Macaca fascicularis: one gene and its partner. The protein of the gene in region 1 purifies or fractionates together with the protein of each later gene. This does not show direct contact. Links are inferred from orthologs where the notes say so. Each region holds a gene or a part of one and is shown in the gene's direction. Other genes may lie near its edges. The genes, in order: PRDX5 and PRDX2.

Region 1 (15,190 bases):
CTGAGGCGGGAGAATCGCTTGAACCTGGGAGGCAGAGGTTGCAGTGAGCTGAGATTGTGCCACAGCACTCTAGCCTGGGCAACAGAGTGAGACTCACGTCTCAAAAAAAAAAAAAAAAAGACAGGCATCTCTGCTCTTAAAAGTCACTAATTTTTTTCTCACTCAGGAAAGCTTATCAGAATTCGGGGGAATGAGCAAGATGCTGACGTAAGCATTGCCTGGGAAGCGCCTATTATTTCCATTATTTCTGCTTTTATGTAACCATTGGTTACTTTGGGGGCCATAATACGTATAATTAAAAAAAAAAAAAAGGCCAGGCATGGTGGCTCCCACCTTTAATCCCAGCACTTTCAGAGGCTGAGATGGGAGGATAATAAGGTCAGGAGTTTGAGACCAGCCTGGCCAACATGGTGAAACCCTGTCTCTACTAAAAATACAAAAATTAGCCAGGCGTGGTGGTGGGTACCTGTAGTCCCAGCTACTCAGGAGGCTGAGGCAGGATAATCGCTGGAACCCAGGAGGCGGAGGTTGGAGTGAGCCAAGATCGTGTCACTGCACTCCCAGCCTGGGCGACAGGGTTAGAGTCCATCTCAAAAAAAAAAAAAAGTCTTGAGTGCTTACCTTGTGCTAGGTACTGTGTTCTTTTATGATCTCAGTTAGTCCCCATAGCAACCCTCTAAGGTGTCAGTACTGTTATAAGTGAGACTGAGAGGCATTTGAAACTTTGTTGAAGTCTCACAACTAGGAAATGGCAGAACCAGGATTTGAACTTGGGTCAGTATAGGTCCAGAGCTGAGCTCTTCAATGTTAGACTGCTGCCTCTGCTTATTACTAGTAACACGAAACTCTGGACAGACGCCAAATGACTGATTGTGACATTCCAGCAAGTTTTTTTTTTTTTTTTTTTTTTTTTGAGATGGAGTTTTGCTCTTGTCCAGGCTGGAGTGCCTGCGGTCATGGCTCACTGCAACCTCTGCCTCCCGGCTTCAAGCCATTCGCCTGCCTCAGTCTCCGAAGTAGCTGGGATTACAGGCATCTGCCACCATGCCCGGCTAATTTTTGTGTTTTTAGTAGGGATGGGGTTTCACCATGTTGGCCAAGCTGGTCTCAAACTCCTGCCCTCAGGTGATCTGTCCTCCTCACACTCCAAAAGTGCTGGGATTATAGGTGTGAGCCACTGGGCCCAGCCAATCCAGCAAGTTTTAACTTGGCCAAAATTCACTGATCTAAAACTTTGTGCACCCTTCCCGCTCTGAAGACCAGTGAGCCAGCAGGCCAGGGTGCAGATGTCTCCTACCTACCCTGGGGCCCCTCACTGTATGTTGACTCTTGACAAATATTTATTGTGTGCTGGCTGTGAATAGGAATTGTATATTGAGCACTTAGGTGTTATGAACCATGCTAGATGTTTTGCCCACATTATCCCCTTTAATTCGGGGCACTTTTACAGCTAGGAAACTGAGGGTTCAAGGGGTTAGGTATGGGACTTGCCCAAGATCATAAAGGTATGTGGTAGCCAGAGTCCCTGCTCGGCACAGACCTATGCTTTTCTGTCCTGGCCAGTGTTCCAGGCCTTGGGGACACAGCTGGGGCTGAAGCAGGGCTGTTTCTGCCCTCAGGCACTTTTCCTCCTGGCAGAGGGGAGAGCTGGGCAACAGTGAGTGGCACAGACTTGTCTTATTACAGCTGTGGTATGTGCAGGAAGGGGAGGTGCTGGTTCTGAGGCTCCAGAGGGCTTGTCTTTTTTTTTTTTTTTCTGAGACGAAGTCTCGCTCTGTCACCCAGGCTGGAGTCCAGTGGTGTGATCTCGGCTCACTGCAAGCTCCGCCCCCCAGGTTCACGCCATTCTCCTGACTCACACTCCCGGAGTAGCTGGGACTACAGGCGCCCACCACCACACCTGGCTAATTTTTGTGTATTTTTAGTAGAGACGGGGTTTCACCATGTTAGCCAGGATGGTCTCGATCTCCTGACCTCGTGATCCATCCACCTCGGCCTCCCAAAGTGCTGGGATTACAGGCGTGAGCCACCGCGCCCGGCCTCTTTTTTTTTTTTTTTTAGACGGAGTCTCGCTCTGTTGCCCAGGCTGGAGTGCAGTGGTGCGATCTCAGCTCACTGCAACCTCTGCCTCCCAGGTTCAAGCGATTCTTCTGCCTCAGCCTCCCAAGTAGCTGGGACTACAAGCACACGCCACCACGCCCAGCTAATTTTTGTACTTTTAGTAGACACGTTGGTCAGGCTGGTCTCGAACTCCTGACTTTGTGATCTGCCTGACTTGGCCTCCCCAAGTGCTGGGATTATAAGCGTAAGCCGCTGCGCCCGGCCTTTTTTTTGAGACAGAGTTTCGCTCTGGTTGCCCAGGCTGGAGTGCAATGGCACGATCTCAGCTCACTGCGCCCTCCACCTCCCAGGTTCAAGCAATTCTCCTGCCTCAGCCTCCCGAGTAACTGGGATTATAGACATGCACCACCATGCCCAGCTAGTTTTTTTTTCTGAGATGGAGTCTCGCTGTGTCACCCAGGCTGGAGTGCAGTGGCATGATCTTGGCTCACTGCAACCTCTGCCTCCCAGATTCAAGCGATTCTCCTGCCTCAGCCTCTTGAGTAGCTGGGATTACAGGCGCCCACTACCATGCCAGGCTAATTTTTGTAGAGACGGGGTTTTACCATGTTGGCCAGGCTGGTCTCGAACTCCTGACCTCAGGTGATCCGACTGCCTTGGCCTCCCAAAGTGCTGGGATTACAGGTGTGAGCCACTGCGCCCGGCCATGGTGTCTTGAGCTGAGCGTAGAAGCCCAAGTAGGGGGTAGGAGAAAACGCACTGCGAGGAGAAATGTGCTGCTGGCCTGCTGTCTAGCTGTGTCATTTGGTCCTTGTGAGGCCCTGTGAGGCCGGGAGGGCCGCCAGCACCACGTTACTAGTGCTGAGGACCTCCAAAGTGACAGTGAGCAGAGGGAGGTGAGGGAGCCTGTGTGAACTTCAGGACCAGAGCTCCAGGCAGGGCCTGTTGGAGGAACATGGAGGAGGCGAGAGCAAGGAGCAGAGGTCAAAAGGTGGCAAGGAGCAGGGGCATAGGCCTGGGAGGACGTGGGTTTGCTTTGGCTTAGACTCAGAGAAGGGAAATCCCTGGAGGGTTTTGAGAAGAGGAGGTACAGGATGTGATGGAGGCTTAATAGAACCCTCTTGGCTGCTGTGTTGAGAACAGACTGGAGCAAGCAGGGACAGAGCAGGAGGCCAGCGAGGGGTGGGGTGATGGTGACTATCGGGTCAAAGGTGGAAGTAGTTGCCAGGAGCAGGAGGTGGATTCTGGACCTCGGGGGAGGTAAAGCCCACCAGAATGTGTCGGTGGCTTGGATGTGGGGTGTGAGAGGAACCAGAGATTCTGCCCAGGTTTCTTTTTGGGCAAGTGAACACGTGGAGTCCACGTAGGCTGTGTTCGGTCCGAGGTGCCTTCTAGACATGCAGGATGTCGAGGAGGCAGCTGGAGAGATGGGTCTGGAGCTCACAGCAGGTCCAGGCTAGAGATAGAAACATGAGAGCCCCACAGCTGGAGAAGATCGCCATAGGATTGGAGATGAACTCCAAGGACAACCCTGGCAGTCTGGATGGAAGAGCTTGGGAAGATGCACAGAAACCACAAAGTGGCTGGTGCGGTGGGAGGAAAACCACAGTGCATGGTGTCCTAGAAGCAAAAGAAGAAAGTGTTTAAGTGTTTCTAGGAGCAGGAAGTGATCAACAGCCTTAGATCCTTCTTTTAGGCCAAGTAACATGAGGACTGAGAATTGACAACTGGATTTAGCAACGCAGAGGTCTTTGTGGCCTTTGTGGCCTCATCAGCAGATGAGGGCTGTGGGCCAGAGATGAGGCTTGGGGCCGAGATGCAGCCCCTCTGCCTGTTCCAGCTCCTCCCTCATCCAGGCAGGGTCTCCCGGCCCAGCAACCACTCCCCTCCCTGCCCGCTCATGGCTGCCTGCTCTCCCTTTCCTCCCCGTACCCCCAGACCTGTGTTTGCCCGGGGAGAGTCAGGGTTCTCCTGTCAGCTGGGTCCCCTCCCGACCCTGGGAGGCTACCTCTGGAGCCCTGCCTCTTCTTGGCAGGGAGCATCGAGTACAGCTGTCCGGCCTCCAACGAGTGTGAGATCACCAAGCGGAGACGCAAGGCCTGCCAGGCCTGCCGCTTCACCAAGTGCCTGCGGGTGGGCATGCTCAAGGAGGGTGAGCACTGGGCAGGGGCTGGGCGAGGGCTGGGGGAGTGGGGGGGCCCGGGCCGGATGGGCGCGAGGCCTGGGAGTTCTGGTGAGTGGACTGGGGGAGGACAACTCTGGAGAGCAAGCCCCACTCCGCCCACAGCACCGCAGTCACAGTCCTATCTGTCCTACAATTCAAGGAGTGCGCCTGGACCGCGTCCGGGGTGGGCGGCAGAAGTACAAGCGGCGACCAGAGGTGGACCCACTGCCCTTCCCGGGCCCCTTCCCTGCTGGGCCCCTGGCAGTCTCTGGCGGCCCCCGGAAGACAGGTGAGAGCACTGTGGGTCCCCTGGGGCTAGGACACGGGAGGCCTATGTGTGGCATCATAGTTAACCTTTGGCACTGGGACCTGTATTTCCCCTTCGTCTCTTCACTCACTTCCCCAAGACATGTGAAAATGCCTTTCCCTGCGTTGGGAAAAGTAGTAGGACGGGGAACAGGGACGATTTTCCAACACTCACAGCCTGTCCACAAACACACGGGCTTTCCCTGGGAGACAGCGCTCTTCCCGGAGGGAAGTCGCTGGCCAGCTGCTACTGAGGAAGGCCACAGGGGGAGCGACTCTGGGAAGATGCTTGACCCCTTGAGGCTTGACTCTTGTCCTCTAATTGTCACCGCAGCCCCAGTGAATGCACTGGTGTCTCATCTGCTGGTGGTTGAGCCTGAGAAGCTCTATGCCATGCCCGACCCCGCGGGCCCTGATGGGCACCTCCCAGCCGTGGCTACCCTCTGTGACCTCTTTGACCGAGAGATTGTGGTCACCATCAGCTGGGCCAAGAGCATCCCAGGTAAAGGGCCCAGGTGACCTGGGGCTGCCCTGAACAGGCCCGGCTCTGGTGTGCTTGCTCAGCCAGGCCCGCTCCCCACTGCCCCCTAGGTTTCTCATCGCTGTCGCTGTCTGACCAGATGTCAGTACTGCAGAGCGTGTGGATGGAGGTGCTGGTGCTGGGTGTGGCCCAGCGCTCACTGCCACTGCAGGATGAGCTGGCCTTTGCTGAGGACTTAGTCCTGGATGAAGAGGGGGCACGGGCAGCTGGCCTGGGGGAACTGGGGGCTGCCCTGCTGCAACTGGTGCGGCGGCTGCAGGCCCTGCGGCTGGAGCGAGAGGAGTACGTTCTACTGAAGGCCCTGGCCCTTGCCAATTCAGGTGAGTCTGGAGCAGGCACGGACAGGTGTCTCCGTAAGGTCTTCAGGTTTTTAACTCAGTGATGGTGACACAGTCCCATTTTGCAGATAAGGAAAACTGAGGCTTAGGGAAGAACAATGATTTGCTCAAACTCAAAAAGCAAGCCAAGCGCAGGCTCCAAACTGCACACAGGATTTTGAGCCCTAGTGCCATGCTAATGCAGAAAGGTCAAGTTTAGTGGGAGGGAAGATGGGGACGGTACAAGGTGGCCACAATTGAGGGAGAAAAGGTGGGGTCCTGGCCCACGTGCTGGAGCAGTGAGTGGTGCCCCTCAATCAGCCAATCAACAAATCCTCAGGCCGGGCGCGGTGGCTCAAGCCTGTAATCCCAGCACTTTGGGAGGCCGAGACGGGCGGATCACGAGGTCAGGAGATCGAGACCATCCTGGCTAACACAGTGAAACCCCGTCTCTACTAAAAAAATACAAAAAACTAGCCGGGTGAGGTGGTGGGCGCCTGTAGTCCCAGCCACTCGGGAGGCTGAGGCAGGAGAATGGCGTAAACCCGGGAGGCGGAGCTTGCAGTGAGCTGAGATCCGGCCACTGCACTCCAGCCTGGGCAACAGAGTAAGACTCCGTCTCAAAAAAAAAAAAACAACAAAAAACAAAAAAAAACCAAATCCTCATTTGGCTCCTCCTTAGACCCCATCCATCAGTGTTCAAGATGTGGGGAGTGCCCTTGCCAGAGACAGCCCAGGCCAATACCATGCTCCTCTCTTCTTGCAGACTCTGTGCACATCGAAGATGCTGAGGCTGTGGAGCAGCTGCGAGAAGCTCTGCATGAGGCCCTGCTGGAGTACGAAGCCGGCCGGGCTGGCCCCGGAGGGGGTGCTGAGCGGCGGAGGGCGGGCAGGCTGCTGCTCACGCTACCGCTCCTCCGCCAGACAGCGGGCAAAGTGCTGGCCCATTTCTATGGGGTGAAGCTGGAAGGCAAGGTGCCCATGCACAAGCTCTTCTTGGAAATGCTCGAGGCCATGATGGACTGAGGCAAGGGGTGGTCCTGGTGGGGGTTCTGGCAGGACCTGCCTAGCATGGGGTCAGCCCCAAGGGCTGGGGCGGAGCTGGGGTCTGGGCAGTGCCACAGCCTGCTGGCAAGGCCAGGGCAATGCCATCAGCCCCTGGGAACAGGCCCCACGCCCTCCCCTCCCCCCTCCTAGGGGGTGTCAGAAGCTGGGAACGTGTGTCCAGACTCTGGGCACAGTGCTGCCCCTTGCAAGCCATAACGTGCCCCCAGAGTGTAGGGGGCCTTGCGGAAGCCATAGGGGGCTGCAGGGGATGTGTGGGAGGCAGAAGCCTATCTCAGGGAGGGAAGGGGATGGAGGCCACAGTCTCCCAGTGGGTGATGCTTTTGCTGCTGCTTAATCCTACCCCCTCTTCAGAGCAGAGTGGGACTTGGAGAGCAAAGGCCCATACCCCTTCGCTCCTCCTCTCATCATTTGCATTGGGCATTAGTGCCCCCCCTTGAAGCAATAACTCCAAGCAGGCTCCAGCCCCTGGACCCCTGGGGTGGCCAGAGCTTCCCCATCAGCTCCCATCCAGCCTCCTCAGGGGGTAGGAGAGCACTGCCTCTATGCCCTGCAGAGCAATAACACTATATTTATTTTTGGGTTTGGCCAGGGAGGCGCAGGGACATGGGGCAAGCCAGGGCCCAGAGCCCTTGGCTGTACAGAGACTCTATTTTAATGTATATTTGCTGCAAAGAGAAACCGCTTTTGGTTTTGAACCTTTAATGAGAAAAAAATATATAATGTCGAGCTCAAGAACACTGTGTGTTTGGTGTCATTGGGTCAAGGGTTGGGGATATACACGGCAGAATTTGGAAACGGTATACATCAACAAAAACATTAGTCATAACAAGAAAAACTGGCGCCTGGCACAATCAACTCTCAGTTTCCTCTTCACTCAGCAGCATGTTGGGGATCCCGCGGCTGATGGGGAACATACGTCCAGACTCCGGGCACTGCAGGGTGCCCTCTATCACTTCCACCTGCGGGCGGGGAGGGACAGAGCTGAGCACTGGCGGCCTCAGTGAGGGAGGCAGGTGGCCCAGGAAGCAAGTGATGGGCCGCTTCTCACCTCCAGCAGCAGATGGTGCATAGTCCTCAGAAACTCTTCATTCTCCTCATATCCCTCAACCGGCCCTTTAGGCACCTGGATCAGGCGCAACTGTGGGCAAGAGGCGAAATTATCTCCGGGCATCCCGAACTCCCGCCTCAGCCCGGCTGAGGTGTGCCCGCCCCGCACTCCCCGGGATATGCTCGGGCGGGGTAAGGATCCTCACATTATCGGCCGCTTCCAGGAACGCCGCCCACTCCACCTTAGGTATCATACGCGCCACGAAGTTGGGGTTGAACTCCACAGGGCAGATACGGACCTCAGTGGCCTGGCAGGGCGGAGGAGTTTAGGCAAGCACTGGACCCTGGCCCACCATCCCACCCGAAAAGGGAAGCCCGCCGTGGTACCTGGAGGCGCAGGGGGAAGCCACGGGACCCCACCCCCCGCACATGCGAGCTCAGCAGATTGTGGGTGAGCAGTTTCATATCGCCGAACAGGCTCTCGTCAGGCCGGAACCGGAAAGAGGGCGTCCTCCGCTTCGTCACTTCCGGGGATGCTCCACTCGATGCTATTGGTTGGCCAGGAGAACCGGAAGTGGCGAACTTACTGGAAATTCTCGTGCTTGCGGGAGCTGAGCTAGGTAAGTGAAAGACCTGTCGGGTCACGCGCCACTACCGGAAGCGTCTCAGCAGGAGGTTCCTACAGCGCACGCCCAGCTTTTTTTTTTTTTTTGCACAAATCCGTCGTATCATGCAAATCATATGCAAAATAGCTGCAATGCAGGGGCTCTCGTTGAATGCAAAATAAACATGTTTTACTCCTACACAGGCGCCTAACACCGTCGTCTTCTGTACCCCGCTTTCGGCTAAGGGGCAGAAATACTGCCCTATCTGTAAATTAGACCCGTGGAAGCCGAGCGGCACCTCATTCTTATATGCAAATTAGCTGCCCCAATGCCGAAAGCTCTGCCCAATTTGTAATTGCGTCTGCTGTCCAGCTAGCCCCCAAGGCAAATGAGGCGAGGGTCCCGGAAGCTCTGTTACACGCGTGGCCGCTCGCGCCTGCGCAGTGGAGGCGGCCCAGGCCCGCCTTCCGCAGGGTGTCGCAGCAGTGCCTCCAGCCGTGCCCCGCCTGCTGCGGTGGCCCCAGCTAGGGGGCGGAGTGAAAGTGGTCTTAGGGCGGGTATGGGACTAGCCGGCGTGTGCGTCCTGAGACGCTCAGCGGGCTATATACTCGGTGGGGCCGCCGGTCAGTCTGTGGCAGCGACAGCAGCAGCAAGACGGCGAAGTGAAGGAGGGTGGGCGTCTGGCGGGGTCCGCAGTTTCAGCAGAACCGCTGCAGCCATGGCCCCGATCAAGGTGACCGCTGGCCCGGCCGGGCCTGACATCCCCCACTACCCCCATGCCAACCCCCGTCGCGCTGGTCTGGGAATATCGCCTTATTTCCTGCCTGCCAGACCCCTCCCCGCCGGCCGCCCCGCTCATCCCTTCAGAAGGCCCTCGTGGCTGCCCACCCTTCTCGCCAATCGTGGGGACCTCACCTCCCGGGGCAGTTCCGAGGCATTGTTTCTTTTTTTTTTTTTTTTTTGAGATGGAGTCCCTCTGTGTCGCCCAGGCTGGAGTGCAGTGTCGCAATCTCTGCTTACTGCAATCTCCGCCTCCCGGGTTGAAGCGATTCTACTGCCTCAGCCTCCTGAGTAGGTGGGACTACAGGTGGGAGCCACCACGGCCGGCTACTGTATTTTTAGTAGAGACGGACGGGGTTTCACCCTGTTGTTCAGACTGGTCTGGAACTCCTGACCTCAGGTGAACCGCCCGCCTCGGCCTCCCGAAGTGCTAGGATTACAGGTGTGAGCCACCGCTCCTGGCCTGATTTCCCATATCTTCTGAAACAGCTGTCCCTTAGTGCCCCCGCCGGGGCTTCCCCCATCCCGCTCCGCCCTCCCCTCCTCCCATGGCGAATTCCCACCTTTTTGCTCGTCTTTCACTCACCTCCTGGAACCGTCCCCGGGGTCTTGGACCTTCCCCCTTCTCCTCCCAAACCCTGTGAGACCCCATTCCCTTTCTACTTCATCCTGCTGCCAACCTTTGGGCTCCTCAGAGACTCCACCACCTCAGACTCTCTCTCCCTACCCACTCTGGCCCCATGAAGCCCTCACATACTCCAGGGGCGGATCCTTCCCCCTTCAAAAGATTCCTTCTTTTGTTGTACCCCTCCTGGGTGTAGGGGCCTGGACAGCCTCCCCCAGTGTTCCACCTGCCGCTGCCCTCCCTCTTTCTCCTCTTGAGGGTGGGACCCTCAGACCTGCCCAAGATCCTCTCCCTCCATGTTGTCAGGGACTCCTCCTCACCTCCAAATACAGCCCTCTAGCCCCTGCCCATTTTATTCCACTCCTTTCCTGTAACAGACAGCATGTTATGTAACCCTTTGTGACACTAGGGGAAGCCTTCCCTCCCTTTCTCTGTTGTCACCAATGGCCCCTTAAAAGGAGCAGGGCCATCTTGAAACCTAGAGGATATGGGGTAACCCGGTGTGAGCGGGCAGGGAGGGCCCTTGGAAACTCTGACAGGGCTGGAGCATCCTGCTGGGTTTCAGCCCCGGCTCCTGAAGGCCCGGCTGCCAGGCGCTCTGTTCACTTTCCTGCCTATGGTTTGCCCCGCTCCCTCACCCCCCTTACCTTGGAGTCCTTCCCTCTAGGTGGGAGATGCCATCCCTGCAGTGGAGGTGTTTGAAGGGGAGCCAGGGAACAAGGTGAACCTGGCAGAGCTGTTCAAGGGCAAGAAGGGTGTGCTGTTTGGAGTTCCCGGGGCCTTCACGCCTGGATGTTCCAAGGTGAGGCCCTTCCCCTTCTGAAGATCAGGACCTGGGATCTCTTGTGTTGTTCTTAAGTCGTCCACATAGTCCTGACAGGACTCCTAAAAAGCATTTCAGTGCCATCAGAAAACAAGTAGAGCTGGACGCGGTGGCTCACGCCTGTAATCCCAGCACTTTGGGAGACCAAGCTGGTGGGTCACGAGGTTGGGAGTTCAAAAGCAGCCTGGCAAGATGATGAAACCCTGTCTCTACTAAAAATACAAAAAAATCAGCCAGGCGTGGTGGCGAGTGCCTGTAATCCCAGCTACTGGGGAGGCTGAGGCAGAGAATTGCTTGAACCCAGGAGGCGGAGGTTGCAGTCAGTGGAGATTGTGCTACTGCACTCCAGCCTGGGCGAAACAGTGAGACTACGTCTCAAAAAAAAAAAAATAGAGACTGCAAAAAGGGAACAGTACCAGGAATGTTGAAGAAAAACATATTGCAATTAAATCCAACACCCCTGTTGGTCCTGCTAAATGACAGGCACTTTGGAAGGTGCTTGGAACTCAGATAACTAAGACATAGTTCTGCCCATGGAAAGTTCACGTCTGGACCATAAGGCATTAGGTTTCATTCTGAGCTTCCTAGTGGCCAAGGCAAAAAGGAAATAGAGTGGTTTAGACAACTCTCATTGTCTGATCAAAGGTGTTGAGGCAGAGCAGTGAGGAGGGCCTGGAGATGAAGGGTGGGCTAGGGGGCAGATGCAGTTATCACTTTGCCAACCCTTTGTTCCCCTTCCCCAGACCCACCTACCAGGGTTTGTGGAGCAGGCTGAGGCTCTGAAGGCCAAGGGAGTCCAGGTGTTGGCCTGTCTGAGTGTTAATGATGCCTTTGTGACTGGCGAGTGGGGCCGAGCCCACAAGGCGGAAGGCAAGGTGAGGTGTGGGGCCTGCAGGGAGTCAGGGCCAGGTAGGATATTCTTCTTGTGACCTTTCCTTTCTCTGCAGGTTCGGCTCCTGGCTGATCCCACTGGGGCCTTTGGGAAGGTGAGTGTTCCCCTGACCACCACAGGAACATGGTCGTGTGGGGAGCAGTGGGGGCCCTTAGCCTCTTCAGGGATTTCTGATACTTTTCTCTGTCTCTTCTTAGGAGACAGACTTATTACTAGATGATTCGTTAGTGTCCATCTTTGGGAATCGACGTCTCAAGAGGTAAAAGTGGAGAGTCCTCTGTGGGGGAGAGTCCCCTGTGGGGAGAGTCCCCTGTGGAGAGAGTCCTCTGTGGGGAGAGTCCTCTGTGGGGGACAGTCCTCTGTGGGGGACAGTCCTCTGTGGGGGACAGTCCTCTGTGGGGAGAGTCCTCTGTGGGGACAGTCCTCTGTGGGGGAGAGTCCCCTGTGGGGACAGTCCTCTGTGGGGGACAGTCCTCTGTGGGGGACAGTCCTCTGTGGGGAGAGTCCTCTGTGGGGAGAGTCCTCTGTGGGGGAGAGTCCTCTGTGTGGAGAGAGTCCTCTGTGTGGAGAGTCCTCTGTGGGGAGAGTCCTCTGTGGGGAGAGTCCTCTGTGGGGGAGAGTCCTCTGTGGGGAGAGTCCTCTGTGGGGAGAGTCCTCTGTGGGGGAGAGTCCTCTGTGGGGACAGTCCTCTGTGGGGGACAGTCCTCTGTGGGGGACAGTCCTCTGTGGGGAGAGTCCTCTGTGGGGAGAGTCCTCTGTGGGGGACAGTCCTCTGTGGGGGACAGTCCTCTGTGGGGGACAGTCCTCTGTGGGGAGAGTCCTCTGTGGGGAGAGTCCTCTGTGGGGGAGAGTCCTCTGTGTGGAGAGAGTCCTCTGTGTGGAGAGTCCTCTGTGGGGAGAGTCCTCTGTGGGAGAGAGTCCTCTGTGGGAGAGTCCTCTGTGTGGGAGAGAGTCCTCTGTGTGGGAGAGTCCTCTGTGTGGGAGAGAGTCCTCTGTGGGGGAGAGTCCTCTGTGTGGGAGAGAGTCCTCTGTGGGGGAGAGTCCTCTGTGTGGGAGAGAGTCCTCTGTGGGGGAGAGTCCTCTGTGGGGGAGAGTCCTCTGTGTGGAGAGAGTCCTCTGTGTGGAGAGTCCTCTGTGGGGAGAGTCCTCTGTGTGGGAGAGAGTCCTCTGTGGGGGAGAGTCCTCTGTGGGGGAGAGTCCTCTGTGTGGAGAGAGTCCTCTGTGTGGAGAGTCCTCTGTGGGGAGAGTCCTCTGTGGGGAGAGTCCTCTGTGGGGAGAGTCCTCTGTGGGGGAGAGTCCTCTGTGGGGGAGAGTCCTCTGTGGGGAGAGTCCTCTGTGGGGAGAGTCCTCTGTGGGGGAGAGTTCTCTGTGGGGAGAGTCCTCTGTGGGGGAGAGTTCTCTGTGGGGGAGAGTCCTCTGTGGGGAGAGTCCTCTGTGGGGGAGAGTCCTCTGTGGGGGAGAGTTCTCTGTGGGGAGAGTCCTCTGTGGGGGAGAGTTCTCTGTGGGGAGAGTCCCCTGTGTGGAGAGTCCTCTGTGGGGAGAGTCCCCTGTGTGGAGAGAGTCCTCTGTGGGGAGAGTCCTCTGTGTGGAGAGAGTCCTCTGTGGGGAGAGTCCCCTGTGGGGAGAGTCCTCTGTGGGGGAGAGTCCTCTGTGGGGAGAGTCCTCTGTGGAGAGAGTCCTCTGTGTGGGGGAGAGTCCTCTGTGTGGGGGAGAGTCCTCTGTGTGGGGGAGAGTCCTCTGTGGGGAGAGTCCTCTGTGGAGAGAGTCCTCTGTGTGGGGGAGAGTCCTCTGTGTGGGGGAGAGTCCTCTGTGTGGGGAGAGTCCTCTGTGTGGAGAGTCCTCTGTGTGGGGAGAGTCCTCTGTGTGGAGAGTCCTCTGTGTGGGGGAGAGTCCTCTGTGGAGAGAGTCCTCTGTGGAGAGAGTCCTCTGTGGGGACAGTCCTCTGTGGGGACAGTCCTCTGTGGGGAGAGTCCTCTGTGGAGAGAGTCCTCTGTGGGGGAGAGTCCTCTGTGGAGAGAGTCCTCTGTGGGGACAGTCCTCTGTGGGGAGAGTCCTCTGTGTGGGGGAGAGTCCTCTGTGGAGAGAGTCCTCTGTGGGGAGAGTCCTCTGTGGAGAGAGTCCTCTGTGGGGAGAGTCCTCTGTGTGGAGAGAGTCCTCTGTGTGGAGAGTCCTCTGTGGGGGAGAGTCCTCTGTGGGGAGAGTCCTCTGTGTGGGGGAGAGTCCTCTGTGGGGAGAGTCCTCTGTGTGGGGGAGAGTCCTCTGTGGGGAGAGTCCTCTGTGTGGGGGAGAGTCCTCTGTGGGGAGAGTCCTCTGTGGGGGAGAGTCCTCTGTGTGGGGGAGAGTCCTCTGTGGAGAGAGTCCTCTGTGGGGAGAGTCCTCTGTGGAGAGAGTCCTCTGTGGGGAGAGTCCTCTGTGTGGAGAGAGTCCTCTGTGTGGAGAGTCCTCTGTGGGGGAGAGTCCTCTGTGGGGAGAGTCCTCTGTGTGGGGGAGAGTCCTCTGTGGGGAGAGTCCTCTGTGTGGGGGAGAGTCCTCTGTGGGGAGAGTCCTCTGTGTGGGGGAGAGTCCTCTGTGGGGAGAGTCCTCTGTGTGGGGGAGAGTCCTCTGTGGGGAGAGTCCTCTGTGTGGGGGAGAGTCCTCTGTGTGGGGGAGAGTCCTCTGTGGAGAGAGTCCTCTGTGGAGAGAGTCCTCTGTGGGGGAGAGTCCTCTGTGGGGAGAGTCCTCTGTGTGGAGAGAGTCCTCTGTGGAGAGAGTCCTCTGTGGGGGAGAGTCCTCTGTGGGGAGAGTCCTCTGTGTGGGGGAGAGTCCTCTGTGTGGGGGAGAGTCCTCTGTGGAGAGAGTCCTCTGTGGGGGAGAGTCCTCTGTGGGGAGAGTCCTCTGTCGGGGAGTCCTCTCTGGAGTTCTCTTCGGCCCCTGGCTCTTCACCACCTGTCTCTATGCCCAGCCTCCAAGCCCAGGCTGAGGCAGCTGGCTGGGCCCTTCTTTCCGGCAGGTTCTCCATGGTGGTACAGGATGGCATAGTGAAGGCCCTGAATGTGGAACCAGATGGCACAGGCCTCACCTGCAGTCTGGCACCCAGCATCATCTCACAGCTCTGAGGCCCTGGGCCAGATCGCTTCCTCCACCTCTCCCTATCTCACCTGTCCAGCCCTGTGCCGGGGCCCTGCAGTTGGAATCTTGGCCAGATTTCTGCAATAAACACTTGCAGTTTGTGTCCATCTCCTTGGTTATGAATGGCTGTTTTGCTGAGTGCCAGGCATTCTGGCATCATCACAGACTGGGTGAGAGTGGTGAGGGTACAGATGGGCTGAAAGGGAGAATGTAGGGGGTCCTGGCTTAATTAAGGGGAAGCTAGGCAGGGCCTAGGTTTTTTTTTTGGTTTTTTTTGGTTTTTTTTTGAGACAGTTTCACTCTGTCACCCAGGCTGGAGTTCAGTGGCATGATCTCAGCTTACCACAACCTCCGCCTCCCAAGTTCAAGCGATTTTCCTGCCTCAGACTCCTCAGTAGGTGGGATTACAGGTATCTGCCACCACGCCCGACTAAGTTTTTGTATTTTTGGTAGACGTAGGGTTTTACCATGTTGGCCAGGCTGGTCTCGAACTCCTGACCTCAGGTGATCACCCGCCTCCACCTCCCAAAGTTCTGGGATTACAGGTGTGAGCCACGGCACCCGGCCTCGAGGGAGGTGTTACTGAGCACTGAGAAGGAGCCAGCAATCTGAAGAGGAAGGGAAGCAGCGGTCCCCACAGAGGCAGCACAGAGGGCAAGGCCCGGCCTATGCCGCGTGGCGCACAGGGTGGCCTTTGTACCTGCTCTCTGGGTGCTGACTGATGCCATTTTGTCTGGAAATCCCATGGTGGGAACCCTGGCTCCCAGCATTCCTGCCGGGGCTCAGCCCCACCATCCTTTCAAACTTGAACCCCTCCGGGGTGCACCCTCATCCCAGGGAGAGCTCAGGTCAC
Region 2 (15,150 bases), on another chromosome or scaffold:
TGGTCCGTTCTTTCACTGAGAGCATTCGAGGCAATGCTGATTTATGTTTTTCTCTGGTAATTTAATGTAATTCTCCCCCACTCGACTGTAAATTTTTCTGATTTAATTTCCACTGTGATCGGAAAACTAAATGTTGAGATGTGCATTTTTTTTTTTTTTTTTTTTGAGACGGAGTCTCGCTCTGTTGCCTAGGCTGGAGTGCAGTGGCGCGATCTCGGCTCACTACAAACTCCACCTCCCAGGTTCACGCCATTCTCCTGCCTCAGCCTCCCGAATAGCTGGGACTACAGGCACCTGCCACCACGCCCAGCTAATTTTTTGTATTTTTAGTAGAGACGGGGTTTCACAGTGTTAGCCAGGATGGTCTCCATCTCCTGACCTCGTGATCCGCCCGTCTGGGCCTCCCAAAGTGCTGAGATTACAGGTGTGAGCCACAGGAGATGTGCATTTCAAAAAGACTACCTTCTGTTGCTGCATGGGGAACAGATTGGAGGGAACAGGAGGGTGGGGGATGAGAGACGATGCTTAGCAGGTGTCCAGGGTGTGGGGGGTGTCCTGGGCTAGGACAGAGGTAGCAGGGAGACACATGTGGGATTTGTTCTGCAGACTGAGCCTTTAGGATGAGGGAGAGATTAGATGGAGATGGGACTAGGGGCTACACTGTGGTCCTCAGTGTGGCACACATTTAGGGCAGAAACAGGAGCACGAAATCAGCAGTAGCAAGGAATATGCCTGAGGCACTCCAGACGTATCTGATGCTGAATCTGCCCACTGCATGTTTTTGCCCACATTTACTTCTTTTATTTTTATTTTTTGCTGTGTCCCCCAGGCTGGAGTGCAATGGCACGATCTCAGCTCACTACAACCTCCGCCTCCTGGGTTCAAGCGATTTCGGTAGAGACAGGGTTTCATCATGTTGGCCAGGATGGTCTTCAACTCCTGACCTTAGGTGATTTGCCTGCCTCAGCCTCCCAAAGCACTGGGATTACAGCCTTGAGCCACCGTGCCTAGCCTCCTATTTTTAGTTTATTTTTATTTATTATTATTTTTTGAGACAGAGTCTCACTCTGTTGCCCAGGTTGGAGTGCAATGGCACAATCTTGGCTCACTGCAACTTCTGCCTCCTGTGTTCAAGCGATTCTCCTGCTTCAGCCTCCTGAGTAGCTAGGATTACAGGCGCCCACCACCACGTCCAGCTAATTTTTGTATTTTTAGTAGAGACGGGGTTTCACCATGTTGGTCAGGCTGGTCTCGAACTCTTGACCTCTAGTGATCTACCCGCTGCGGCCTCCCAAAGTGCTGCGATTATAGGCGTGAGCCACTGGGCCTGGCCTCCATTTTTATTTTTGGGTTGGGGGGGTCTTTCTTTGTCACCCAAGATGGAGTGCTGTGGCATGATCATGGCTCACTGCAGTCTAGAACTCCTGTTTTGTCGCCAGTTTATCCTGCGATGACCAAATGGGGACAACTCAACACTTAACTCACCTGGGTGACGTTCACGCCCTGGTCCAATGCATACTGTATAAGCCCAGTGGCTGTATCATGTGACAGGGAGTTCAGGTTGTACTTGACTCTGTGGTGGGGAACAGAGCCCAGTTAACCTCATTCTAGGAAGAAAGCCCAGTCAGCCCATGCTGGCTGCCCCTCTCCCACAGCCCCCCCCGGGTACCCCTCACCGCCCAAGCATGCTGATAGAGATGAGGTTTGGAGATAGCACGTCCAGCGCCCAGCCGACAAAGTCCCTGTTCTCCTCCATTTTCGCAAAGAGCCTTTCCCGCTCGCTCTCCAATAGGGTCTTTGAGTCTGGAAGGAGGTTTGGAAGAGAAGTGGAACAGCTGCTTCTCCCAGTTCCTGTCCTCCCCTTTCAGTTCTCACCTGCCCCTGCACATACTCGGGAATCCCTTCCCCAGACGCACACCTCGGGCTCACCTGCCACTTTCAGGGCCTCCAGATCTGCCAGGTGGGACAGGGGACAATAACAGATGGCGTAGACCATGGGGCCTGGGGAGAAGGGGTGTCAGTTTTCTCGCAGCCGGGGTCCAATCACTGAGCCCGTGAAAGTTGCCATCCATCCCTGTTCTACCATCACTGCTTCTTTGGGTGCCATCACCACGACCACATCCCCTCCCCTGGTGCGGTGCAATCCCGACTCCCGTTTCCCTCATCCCCCGTACCACGCCCCTCCCCTCCCTGGCCCTAGGTGCGCACCCAGGACGGGGCCCCTGCCCGCCTCATCGACGCCCAGGACGCAAGGCTCCTTGCGGCACGCCGCGGGCACAGGCGAACTCAGGCGACAGCGGCCCGTGTTGTCTCTCTCCAGCTCGCTGAGATCCATGCCGCCTCGGCCGCCGCCACCAGCTGCAAGAACTAACACCGCGGGAGCGGGTCTCGGCGCGCGTTTTCCGCGGGCCTTGCAGTGGCGCCTGTTTCCGGCCAATCCGCGGGCAGAACACGCCCCTGTCGCTCCCACGGCCGTGGGCGCTTACGCAGCCGACGCCGACGCCGCTGCCGTGCGCCCTTCTGGGAATTGTAGTCCCGAAGGACTGTGGCCGAACACTCAGCGTGGGGAATTCGGTGGACCGGGTCACTTTGCAAGCTCTGCTTCACGGTCTCTGGGGCCCCGCCTGCGTTGGCCGGTGGGAAAAAGGGGAAATAAAAGGGAAACTGAGACGCAGCTTCGAAGACCCAACCTAATGGGGAACTAAGGGTCAAATATCACCCCTGTCCCAGGACACGGGTCCCCGCATCACTGCGTCCCCGACTTCCACCTGGATTCAGGCCCTGTACTCGCAGTCCCTTCTTCTTTTTTTTTTTTTTTTTTTGAGACGGAGTCTGGCTGTGTCTCCCAGGCTGGAGTGCAGTGGCGTGATCTCGGCTCACTGCAAGCTCCGCCTCCCGGGTTCACGCCATTCTCCCGCCTCAGCCTCCCAAGTAGCTGAGACTACAGGCGCCCGCCACCACGCCCGGCTAGTTTTTTGTATTTTTAGTAGAGACGGGGTTTCACCATGTTAGCCAGGATAGTCTCGATCTCCTGACCTCGTGATCCACCCGCCTCGGCCTCCCAAAGTGCTGGGATTACAGGCTTGAGCCACCGCGCCCGGCCTGCAGTCCCTTCTTCTGTACACATTCTAAGTCCCCTGAACCAGGTAGCCCCGCTTCCACTAAACTCAGGCTTTTGGATTTGGAGTCCCCAAACTCCCTCTCTTGGTTGCTGCCTTCAGCCCACCCCCACTCCCTGCAGGATCTGTGCTTCCTACCCTCTCTCTCATTCAGGCCAAGCCTTCCCCACCCCCATTGGAGATCACAGACCTCAGTGGACTCCTGCTCAGGGTCTGTGCCCACTATATAGAAGCTCATTCCTCCTAACTTAGAATAAACGTCCCCACCCCCACCCCGACACCCCCCCCTTTTTTTTTTTAGACAGGGTCTCTCTCTGTTGCCCAGGCTGGAGTGCAGTGGTGTGATATTGGCTCACTGCAACCTCCACCTCCTGGGCTGACGCGACCCTCCCACCTCCGTCTCCCAAGCAGCTGGACTACAGGTGCACACCACACCACCATGCCCAACTATTTTTGGTATTTTTTGTAGAGACGGGGTCTCACTATGTTGCCCAGACTGGCTTCAAACTCCTGGGCTCAAGTGATCTGGCCGCCTCCGCCTCCCAAAGTGTTGGGATTACAAGCCTGAGCCACAGTGCCTGGCCTCCACACTTCTTCTATTCCCTGGACTCACTGGGGCTTATGTCCTCTGCCTGTGGGTTCCCGCCCCTTACCAGGCTCATGCCCCTTCCTCAGGGTCCTAGTTCATTGTCTTTTTATCTCCTTTTATTCCTCTGCGCCTCCCCCTCCACTTTTTTTTTTTTTTTTTTTTTTTTAAGACAGGGTGTTACTCTGTTTCCCAGGCTGGATAGCAGTGTAGCGATCTCGGCTCACTGTAACCTTTGCCTCCCAGGCTCAAGCGATCCTCCCTCCCCATCCTACCGAGTAGCTGGGACCACAGGCATGTGCCGCCACGCTCGTCTAATTTTAAAAATTTTCATGGAGAGATGATCTCAACTATATTGCCCAGACTGGTCTTGAACTCCTGGACTCAAGAGATGCGCCTGTCTTGGCCTCCCAAAATGCTGGAATTACAGGGGTGAGTCCTAGCGCCCAGCGCCCCCTCCATATTTCTGCCTTTCTCCCTAGATATCAGCGGGGCTCTCGGCTCCTGACTCAGCTTCCGCCTAACCATATCAGTCTCAAGTCACTCAAGACTTGGAGCCCCAGTTCTCCCTTCCCCAAATTCACTTCATACCCGCCACGCACCGCACGTCCTCCCTCCGCGCCCACCCTGGGCCCCGCGGCTTGCCCCGGCCCGGCGTCCTCTGGGCCCCTCTCTCACTCGGGCTCAGAGCCTCCAGTCGCAGTCGAAGGGCTTGCAGGATGGACAATCCCGTTGCCGGCAGGGTCCTAACTGGATCAGGTTCTCCGGGTCCATGAAAACTGGGCCTGGCGCTGTGCCGACTACCTCGCGGCTGCGCTCCTGCTTGCCCAGGTCGCAGAGACACCGCCACTTTCCCCACGGGCCAAGGATTGAGTCCTCGACTTCTAGAGAAGGAGGGCAGAGGTGAAGACCTACGTGGAGGCGGCCTACTCCCAATCTCCTCCCCCAGAGAGGAAGAAAGATAAAGATACTAACAAATAAGAGAAGCGCATATTCGCTAGACTCTGCCTCTATGCCAGACACTCCCCCGTAGACTATTTCATTTAATTTTTTTTTTTTTTTTTTTTTTTTTGGAGACAGGGTCTCGCTCTGTCGCCCAGGCTGGAGTGCAGTGGCACAGTCACAGCTCACTGCAGCCTCAACTTCCTGGGCTCAAGCAATCCTCCTACCTTAGCCTCCCAAGTAGCTAGGACTACAGGCACATGCCACCATGCCTGGCTAATTTTTTGCAGAGACGGTGCTTCACCATGTTGCCCAGGCTGGTCTGGAACTCCTGGGCTCAAGTGATACTCCCATCTCAGCCTCCCAAAGTGCTGGGATTACAGGTGTGAGCCGGCCACCATGTCTGGCCTCATTTAATCTTTCCATGAGTCTCAGGTGGGAAAACCAAGAGACAGCAAGCCAACCTTCCAAGCTCATACACAGGGTAAGTGGCTCAGAGGAACTACAACCTGACACTTTCAGGCTGTGCCAGCCTGCACAGTTGTGAGTGTCCTATAACATCCTTGGTGCCTGCCATCTGATGCTGACTTCTGTCTTCAGGGGTGTGACCATGGCCCTGAAGCAGGCACAATGCCAATTGACCAGCAGGGCTATCAAGTGATAAATGGCATAATTGACAGAATGAAGGTAAGTAAATCTCCTGGTGCTGCGCTAGCATATACAAACCAAATTTTTATGATCAGGTTTATTTTTTATTTTTTATTTTTATTTTTATTTTTTGAGACAGGATCTCGCTCTGTTACCCAGGTTGGAATGTAAGGGCGTAATCATGGCTCACTGCAGCCTCAAATTCCTTGGCACAAATGGTCCTCCTGTATCAGCCTCTTGAGTAGCTGGGACAGGCTCATGCCACCATGGCAGGCTAATTTATTTTTTGTTTTTATTTATTTATTTATTTTTGTAGAGAAGGGGGTCTCTCCATGTTGCCTAGGCTGGTCTTGAACTCCTGGGCTCAAGCAGTCCTTCGGCCTGGGCCTCCCAAAGTGCTAGGCCATCAGGTCAGGCTAATTTTAAAATCTTTTTTGTAGAGATGGAGTCTTGCTATGTGGGCCAGGCTAGACTGGTCTCTGAGACCAAGGGATCCTCCCACCTCAGCCTCCCAAAGTGCTTGGGTTACAGGTGTGAGCTACCTCGCCGGCCACTATGATCACTTCAAACGGCTCTTTACTGAATCTGCCCCTTTCCCCTATGAGACAGATCTTATCCCAACTCCGATCTTTTTTTTTTTCTTTTTCTTTTTTTTTTTTGAGACGGAGTCTCGCTCTGTCGCCCAGGCTGGAGTGCAGTGGCCAGATCTCAGCTCACTGCAAGCTCCGCCTCCTGGGTTTACGCCATTCTCCCGCCTCAGCCTCCCAAGTAGCTGGGACTACAGGCGCCCGCCACCTCGCCCGGCTAGTTTTTTTGTGTTTTTCAGTAGAGACGGGGTTTCACCATGTTAGCCAGGATGGTCTCGATCTCCTGACCTCGTGATCCGCCCGTCTCGGCCTCCCAAAGTGCTGGGATTACAGGCTTGAGCCATCGCGCCAGGCCTCCAAGTCCGATCTTATCCCAACTCGCGGCTCACCAAGATCTGACACCTGCTACCCTCCCACACCCACTCTGCCACATCTCACCGACCTCTTCCCATTTCTCCTTTAGGCCTTTTCACCTTGGCACTTGCTATTCCCTCTTTCTTGGACATTCTTTCCCCAAATCTTTCCATTTGGGGTTTTCGCTTGTCGTTCTCGCTGCACTGGTCACGGGTCTTCTGCAACCGGACCCTCTCTGACTTCCCAAGCTTGCCCGCCCCCTTCTTGCTCTGCTTCTGCCCTTCCTGGCACCTATCCCCGAGTGACAGCTTCAATGTCCTACCCACACCCTCTTCCCCTGGGAGCTGCTTTAAAGCAGTATCTATTTCAACGTATCCAAGAGTAAACCGAGCCTCAGAGAACAGTAACCAGCCCAAGGGGACGCCTCCAGTGCAGAGCTGGGTGGAGATTTGCAGCCCGCGGAGGAAGGTCCCTTTGCAGCCAGCAGGAGAAGTAGGGCAACGGGGAGCCTATGGACATCGTCACCCCCGCCGCCTGAGGTTACCCTTTAGATGCTGCAGCCTCAGCTGCTCCCAGGTGTCACCTTCGCCCTGCTGGCCGAAGTACTGATAGTCCTGGTAGACCTGGGCAGGGGTCGCCAGCGGCAGGAGTAGCAGAGGCGCCAGCAGCAGCGCCGCCGGGGTCCGGGCCATGCCCGACTCCAACGGCACCCAGCGCGCTCGCAGGGAGAGTTGTGCGCGGAGTCTGCGGCGGCCGCATTACCCCCGCGAGCCGGTGCAGTGGTCCCGGCCGAAGGCAACACGTCTCCCCCCGGCTCCCGCAGGCGCATGGACTCGGCCGCACGCTCCCCCGCACCTGAGGGTGCAGTGGACCCGACCGCTCGGCTCGTTTGCTCCCTCCCCTGCGCAGCGCACATCTTGGTTCGGGCCGGGCATAAAAGGCTTCGCGGCCCAGGGCTCACTTGGCGCTGAGAACGCGGGTCCACACGTGTGATCGTCCGTGCGTCTAGCCCTTGCCCACGCAGGTATAGACACACAGAGTGCACCTGGCGGGAGGACCCCCTTCAAGCTGCTTTGGCCGGATCCTGACCTCAGTGCTGGCCGCCTTTGTTTTCCATCCGCTGTAGTGGCCTCCTTTGTCCTTGCGGGGGAAACCGAGGCCACAGCCTTGCAGTGCAGGCCCGATCGCCCTGTTCCCCGCCCCCTGCTCGAGGGGGCCTCACTGTCTCCTTCTGGACTTGGGGCTTGCGACACCGCGCTCCGGCCCACTCGCTCGTGGGGTGCTAGTGGCAGTGGCTGGGTCACTCGTGCTCTGGTCAGGAGGGCGGGTCTCCGGCAGCCTCTGGGCTTCGCAGACCCGGTACCCGGGAGGGTGAGGGTTGGTGCTGTCGCCTCCGCCGTGCTGACTCAGTCACAGGGCCCAGCACGCAGCGCGACCTTGGGGTGGGAGGACAAAGGGTCTTCCCGGGCGCACTGACCGGACAGGGGTCTCAGCTTTCAGTCATGGCCTCCGGTAACGCGCGCATCGGAAAGCCAGCCCCTGACTTCAAGGCCACAGCAGTGGTTGACGGCGCCTTCAAAGAGGTGAAGCTGTCGGACTACAAAGGTGAGCGCAGCCCGGAGCGGACCCAGGTAGAAGCAGAAGCGGGGCCGTGCATGAGAGAGGCTGGGCCCTAACTCCTCTTGGTCCCTCCTCCCCAGGGAAGTACGTGGTCCTCTTTTTCTACCCTCTGGACTTCACTTTTGTGTGCCCCACGGAGATCATCGCGTTCAGCAACCGTGCCGAGGACTTCCGCAAGCTGGGCTGCGAAGTGCTGGGCGTCTCGGTGGACTCTCAGTTCACCCACCTGGCTTGGTATGAGCAGGGGCCAGAGAAGGAGGTTGCAGCTAAGCTCACACCCTCGGGTCCGAGCTGTGTGGCTTCATGACCATTGCTTAATCTCTGGAACCTGCGTTTCCCCATCTTGAAAATAATGGAAATATTGCCGCCCAAGTTTTTAAGGATGGCAGTAATTAGCATTTGGCAGCTAGTTGAGCTAGTTGTTTGGCACATAGAATTGCAGATGCAACTCAGATGCAACTTTATCTGCTCTATCTACTAGTTCCCAGGAGGGAGGCTGTGCTGCCCTATTTCATAAAGATGGAAACTCGGGTTCACCTAAGTGAAGAGCTGTACCCCATGACACAGCTAGAGGAGGACGGGGACTCTTAACACGGGCTCTCTCCTGGGTGATGCTGCAAGTTACAAGCACATGTGAAGCCACTTAGCTGGAGCGTGGCCTCTCAAGCTTAGTCTTCCCAGCTGTGGGAAGTCCTTGTACCCAACCCAGGGTGGGGTGGGTGAGGCTCCCAGCAGCCTACTTTAAAGCCCCTTATCTTTGGCCTCCAGTGCTTATCACATTGGGCCCACAGGGTGAGGACCCGGCTGTACCAGGCATCCTGAGGCCCCAACTCTATCTCCTCTACTCCCAGGATCAACACCCCCCGGAAGGAAGGAGGCTTGGGCCCCCTGAACATCCCCCTGCTTGCTGACGTGACCAGACGCTTGTCTGAGGATTATGGCGTGCTGAAAACAGATGAAGGCATTGCCTACAGGTACTGTGGGACCCTCAGCCCGGCTCATGGAGACCCCCCATTCCTGTGGAGCTGGAACCACTCCTGTACAATGTCTTCTCTGCCCCCAGCCCTGTGGCTAGCAGCGGGTGGTTGGTAGTCCCTTCCTTGTCTCTGGCAGTGGGAGCTCCCAGCTCCTTACTGGGAACCCTGATGTCTTCAGGGGCCTATTTATCATCGATGGCAAGGGTGTCCTTCGCCAGATCACTGTTAATGATTTGCCTGTGGGACGCTCCGTGGATGAGGCTCTGCGGCTGGTCCAGGCCTTCCAGTACACAGACGAGCATGGAGAAGGTGAGCAGAAACACACATGACACATGGGTACATACTCAGTGCCTCTGTCACTCATGCAAACATTCACTGCCTGTCCTCTGACCTGTCCAGATGGGTGTTAGGGCCCCAAAGAAGATTCAGCTCAGGGGTTTGTCTGCAGGAAGTTTCTAGTGTGGTAGGAGACAAATACTCCTGACATTCAACCAAGGTGGACAAAGGAGCTGGGCTCAGTGGCTCACGCCTGTAATGCCAGCACTTTGGGAGGCTGTGACGGGTGGATCACCTGAGGTCAGGAGTTTGAGACCAGCCTGACCAACATGGTGAAACCCCGTCTCTACTAAAAACACAAAAAAATTGGCCGGGCGCGGTGGCTCAAGCCTGTAATCCCAGCACTTTGGGAGGCCGAGGCGAGTGGATCACGAGGTCAGGAGATCGAGACTATCCTGGCTAACATGGTGAAACCCCGTCTCTACTAAAAATACAAAAAACTAGCCGGGCGTGGTGGCGGGCGCCTGTAGTCTCAGCTACTTGGGAGGCTGAGGCGGGAGAATGGCGTGAACCCGGGAGGCGGAGCTTGCAGTGAGCCGAGATCACGCCACTGCACTCCAGCCTGGGAGACACAGTGAGACTCCGTCTCAAAAAAAAAAAAAAAAAAAAAATTAGCTGGGCATGGTGGCATGTGCGTGTAATCCCAGCTACTTGAGAGACTGAGGCAGGAGTTCTCTTGAATCTGGGAGGCGGAGGTTACAGTGAGCCGAGATCGTACCATTGTACTCCAGCTTGGGCAACAATTAGCCTGGCTTGTGAAGCATACCTATAGTCCCAGCTACTCAGGAGGCTGAGGCCGGAGGATCGCTTGAGCCTGGGAGGTCGAGACTGCAGTGAGCTATGATCGCACCACTGCACTCCAGCCTGGGTGACACAGCAAAACCTTGTCTCAAAAAACAAACAGGCCGGGCACAGTGGCTCACGCCTGTAATCCCAGCAGCATTTTGGGAGGCCAAGGCGGGTGGATCACAGGTCAGGAGTTTGAGACCAGCCTGGTCAACATAGTGAAACCCTGTCTTTACTAAAAATACAAAAAAATTAACTGGGCATGGTGGTGGGTGCCTGTAATCCCAGCTACTTGGGAGGCTGATGCAGGAGGATTGCTTGAACCCGGGAGGGGGTTGCAGTGAGCCGAGATCGCACCACTGCACTCCAGCCCAGGCCCAGTGTGAGACTCCATCTCAAAAAAAAACAAAAAACAAAAAAAACAATAACAAAACCTGTAGGGGTGGGGCAGAGGGACAAAGATGGGGTTAAAGGGGCCGAAAAGACAGGAAGATGCTGTCTCATGCCTGTAGTTCCACCTACTCTGGAGAGTGAGGCAGAAGATTGCTTAAGCCTAGGAGTTTGAGTCCAGCCTAGGCAACATAGGAATAACCCATCTCTTAAAAAAGAAAAGAAAAAGAAAAAAGAGGCCAGATGTCATGGCTCACACCTGTAATCCCAGACTTTGGGAGGCCTAGGAGGGTGCATCACCTGAGGTTGGGAGTTCGAGACCAGCTTGACCAACATGGAGAAACCCCGTCTCTACTAAAAATACAAAATTAGCCGGGCGTGGTGGTACATGCCTGTAATCCCAGCTACTTGGCAGGCTGAGGCAGGAGAATCACTTGAAGCTGAGAGGCTGAAGTTGCAGTGAGCCGAGATCGTGCCATTGTACACCAGCCTGGGCAAGAAGAGTGAAGTGAAAGTCCGTCTCAAAAAAAAAAAAAAAAGAAAAAGGAGAGGTGGGTGGCAAAAAGAAATTTAAGAATTAAGGGTAGGAAACACACCAACTAAAAAATGCTGAACTTGGCTAGGCGCAGTGGCCCACGCCTGTAATCCTAGCACTTTGGGAGGCCAAGGGGGGTGGATCACCTGAGGTCAGGAGTTTGAGATCAGCCTGACCAATATGGTGAAACCCTGTCTCTACTAAAAGTACCAAAAAATTAGCAGGGCGTGGTGGCGGGCACTTGTAGTCCCAGCTACTTAGGAGGCTGAGGCAGAAGAATCGCTTGAACCCAGGAGACAGAGGTTGCAGTGAGCCGAAATCACACCACTGCACTCCAGCCTGGGCGACAGAACAGGACTCTGTCTCAAAAGAAAAAGAAAAGAAAAAGAGAAAATACTGAACTTGGCTGGGCATGGTGGCTCACACCTGTAATCCTAGCACTTTGGGAGGCCAAGATGGGCAGATGACTTGAGGTCAGGAGTTCAAGATAAGCGTGGCTAACGTGGTCTCCACCAAAAATACAAAAATTAGCCAGGCATGGTGGTGCACCCCTGTAATTCCAGCTACTTGGGAGTCTGGGGCACGAGAATCGCTTGAACCCAGGAGGCAGAGGTTGCATGAGCTGAGATCATGCCACTGTACTTCAGCCTGGGCAACAGAGCAAGACTCTGTCTCAAAAAAAAAAAAAAAAAGAGAAAAATACTGAACTGGGCTTGGAGGGCTTCTCTTTTTTTTTTTTTTTTTTTTTGAGACAGAGTCTTGCTCTGTTGCCCAGGCTGGAGTGCAGTGACACCACCTCGGTTCACTGCAAGCTCCGTCTCCCGGGTTCACGCCATTCTCCTGCCTCAGCCTCCTGAGTAGCTGGGACTACAGGCACCCGCCGCCACGCCCGGCTAGTTTTTTTTTTTTGTATTTTTAGTAGAGACAGGGTTTCACTGTGTTAGCCAGGATGGTCTTGGTCTCCTGACCTCGTGATCTGCCCACCAAAGTGCTGGGATTACAGGCGTGAGCCACAGCGCCCGGCTGGAGGGCTTCTCTTAATATCCACATTCCTGGGCCTGAACCACTTACAGCATTTTCTTCTGCAACACAGGCCCTTGTTTGCTTCACCTTGAACCTGGGGCTGTAGCTTTCATGCGCATCCTTGTGTCTTCCCACAGTTTGTCCCGCTGGCTGGAAGCCTGGCAGTGACACGATTAAGCCCAACGTGGATGACAGCAAGGAATATTTCTCCAAACACAATTAGGCTAGCCAACGGATAGTAAGCTTGTGCCCCTACCTAGGTGCCTGTGCTGGGTGTCCACCTGTGCCCCCACCTGGGTGCCCTGTGCTGACCCAAGAAAGGCCAGACCTGCCCCTCCAAACCCTACAGTCTGGGACCCTGGAGGGCTAGGCCAAGGCCTTCTCATGCCTCCACCTAGGAGCTGAATAGTGACGCCCTCCCCCTAGCCCACCTAGCCGCACACAGGCCTAGAGGTGACCAATAAAGTATTAGGGACAGGTGTAAATCTGTGTTGATGTGCTCTCTCCTTTCGTCCTCCCCTGCAACACCCTCCCTTCTCCAGGCTCAGGCTTGGGAAACTGACCCTGTGGTTGCTCATCTTCGCCACACGGTGGCGGTCTTATCACATGCTCAGTGCCTGCTCTTTTCTTCCTTGCGCTCAAGGCGGTTTCCGAGGAGTAGGGCATGCCTCTGTCCCTTGCAAATCCCAGGATGCCCTACATCCAGAAATCTGGCCATACAAGGCAGCGCCCACATTTTGTCACCAGCCAGCCCGGGTTCAAATACCATTTAAGAGCTGTGATCATCTCTGGGTCTCTTAACAGTAAAATAGGACTGCAAACCCAGATCACTATGCACGTGGTAAAAGTTGTAGGTGATGAGTTATGTGAAGCTGGGGGCCGAGACCCCTGTGTGGGGCCCAGTTCCTAGTTCCTAAGATGGCTTCCTCGAGCTGGAAGGAACCCAGCCCAGTCTAGTCTTATGGGGAAGAGGGTGGGGACCCAGTCTTAAGAGCAGAACCAAGAATGAGAGCCTGAGCTACGTGCAGAGTGCAGAGTCCCTGCTGTGAGCTCTGCCCCACCCCAGGCTGGAAAGATTGCCTGTCTGCCCCTGGGGTGGGAGGGTGGCAGTTAGGCTAGGAGGCAGGTATTAGCAGCAAGGCAGGGTTCCCAGGGGTGCAGTTTAATATTGTGTGCGTTCAGGCAAGTAGTTTTGTTACTCTATGCCCCAATTTCCTCCTACAGAACAGGGCTAATATGCTCATTTAATCCATGGATCCACTATTAATGCTGGTACCCACCTAATACCCTCTAATGGTCACTCATCGCCCTTGGAATTTAATCTACACTCCTCCCCAAGGCCCCTGCTCAGTCTCCCTAAATATCTGCCCTGTTGTGGTTCACTCAAATTACAGACACGCTGGCTTCCTGCTGTTCTTTCACAGGCTCACCTGGCTACAAAAATTTTGCCATTTCAGAGCTGCTCTCAGCTGAGCGGGATGGCTCACACTGGTAATCCCAGCACTTTGGGAGACCAAGGCAGGCGGATCACCTGAGGTCAGGGGTTTGAGACCAGCCTGGCCAACATGATTAAACCCTCTCCACTAAAAATATAAAAATAAAAATTAGCCTGGCATGATGATGCACGCCTGTAGACCCAGCTACTTGGGAGGCTGAGGCAGGAGAATTGCTTGAATCCTGTGGGTGGAGGTTGCAGTAAACTGAAATCGAGCCACTGCACTCCAGCCTGGGTGACAGAGGGAGACTCCATCTCAAAAACAAACAAAACCTGTTACCTCTGATGCTGTTATTACCCAGGATTTTCTCAGGACCCCACTTCTTCAAATCTGTTGAAAAGTCACAGCCACGCACGATGGCTCACACCTGTAATCCTAGCACTTTGGAGGCCGAGGCTGGCAGATGACCTCAGGTCAAGAGTTCAAGACCAGCCTGGCAAACGTGCCAAAACCCCGTCTCTACTAAAGATACAAAATTAGCCGGGCATGGTGGCAGGCACCTATAATCCCAGCTACTTGGGAGGCTAAGGTAGGAGAATTGCTTGAACCCAAAAGGCAGAGGTTGCAGTGAGCCAAGAGCACACCACTGCACTCCAGTCTGGGTGACAGAGCAAGAATCTGTCTCAAAAAAAAAAAAAAAAAAAAAAAAAGAAAAGAAAAAGTCACTGAGAGACAAGCCCAGTGGCTCACGCCTGGAATCCCAGTGCTTTGAAAGGCCAAGGCAGGAGGACTGCTTGACCCAGGAGTTCCAGACCAGCCAGGGCAACATAGCAGACCCCATCTCTACAAAAGTAAACAAAATTAGCCAGGCACAGTGGTGTGTGCCTGTACTAGCTAGTTGGGAAGCTGAAGTGGGAGGAACTGCTTGAGCACAGAAGGTCTAGGCTGCAGTTAGCTATGATTGCACCACTGCACTCCAACCTGGGCAACAGGGCAAGACCGGTCTCTAAAACATAAAAAAGAAAAAGTCGCCCCGTTAAAGGTCCATGTTCCCACTCCATTTTACAAAGCAACTTTCCTCTCTGCCCCATCACTGCCACCTTGACCTGTGTGTGTGTGTGTGTGTGTGTGTGGTTTTTTTTTTCCCTCTTACTAGCACTTACCACCACCTCTGAAGAACCATGCTTGCTTGTTTATTTATTGTCTTGTCTGGAGGGGTCCAGGCTGTGTCTCCAGGGTCTAGTTGTTCTAGGTATTGCACAAATGAATTGATGAAGTGTCTGTTCCACTCACCTTACTGCCTGTCTAGTTTCTCTACCTGTTTTTCTCCACTGCTCTGGGGGCTTACAGCCCCGAAGCCGGCCAGACTCCCTCCAGGCGTGCCAGCAGCACCCGCACCGGCACCCCCACCCCCAAGTGTCCCAGCTGCGCGGGAGGGAGCCCAGCGCGAGGGCGGTGGCGGCGCCCAGCGGCCCGAGCAGCCGCCCCGGCAGGACCAGACCTGGCAGTCGCCCCGCTCCTGGCCTGGCACCCGGGAGGGGAAGCTGGCAGGCGGGCGCCGCCCTTCCTGGCGGGGGTGGGGGTAGAGGGGAGGGTGTCGGCAAAGCCGCCGAAGCAGCAGCAACCCTCTGCCCCGGTCAGGTCAGACGGAGGGGGCGTGGGCGCGGCGGGGCCCAGGCGCCAGTGTCTTGAAGGTAGCACAGAGGTGGCTCCCGGGGCCCAGGAGCGCTGCCCGCCCACCGCGGGCCCTCTGGACCCAGGCCTGGGGCTTTCCGTGCCCGGGCAGCCGCCTGCCCGGGAAAATCCCGGCC

The links.
Region 2: the proteins of PRDX5 (region 1) and PRDX2 fractionate together in Homo sapiens (co-fractionation; 3 studies listed by BioGRID). This does not show direct contact. The link is inferred for Macaca fascicularis from reciprocal best matches to the Homo sapiens genes PRDX5 and PRDX2.

What each region holds. Positions count from the first base shown.
Region 1 is NC_088388.1:10,071,560-10,086,749, reverse strand, and holds PRDX5 (peroxiredoxin-5, mitochondrial), read left to right. Parts: upstream 1-8,659; 5' UTR 8,660-8,668; coding exon 8,669-8,842; intron 8,843-10,181; coding exon 10,182-10,316; intron 10,317-11,080; coding exon 11,081-11,212; intron 11,213-11,284; coding exon 11,285-11,323; intron 11,324-11,426; coding exon 11,427-11,488; intron 11,489-14,170; coding exon 14,171-14,324; 3' UTR 14,325-14,444; downstream 14,445-15,190. Other genes in the region: ESRRA (steroid hormone receptor ERR1), read left to right, coding at 4,097-4,213, 4,386-4,514, 4,866-5,033, 5,123-5,392, 6,156-6,415; TRMT112 (multifunctional methyltransferase subunit TRM112-like protein), read right to left, coding at 7,309-7,416, 7,506-7,595, 7,711-7,812, 7,892-7,969. UniProt on the Homo sapiens protein: Thiol-specific peroxidase that catalyzes the reduction of hydrogen peroxide and organic hydroperoxides to water and alcohols, respectively.
Region 2 is NC_088393.1:13,183,517-13,198,666, reverse strand, and holds PRDX2 (peroxiredoxin-2), read left to right. Parts: upstream 1-7,199; 5' UTR 7,200-7,260; intron 7,261-7,729; 5' UTR 7,730-7,738; coding exon 7,739-7,841; intron 7,842-7,936; coding exon 7,937-8,090; intron 8,091-8,707; coding exon 8,708-8,830; intron 8,831-9,011; coding exon 9,012-9,142; intron 9,143-12,040; coding exon 12,041-12,126; 3' UTR 12,127-12,388; downstream 12,389-15,150. Other genes in the region: RNASEH2A (ribonuclease H2 subunit A), read right to left, coding at 1,486-1,573, 1,677-1,803, 1,930-2,001, 2,209-2,335; THSD8 (thrombospondin type-1 domain-containing protein 8), read right to left, coding at 4,390-4,589, 6,781-6,928.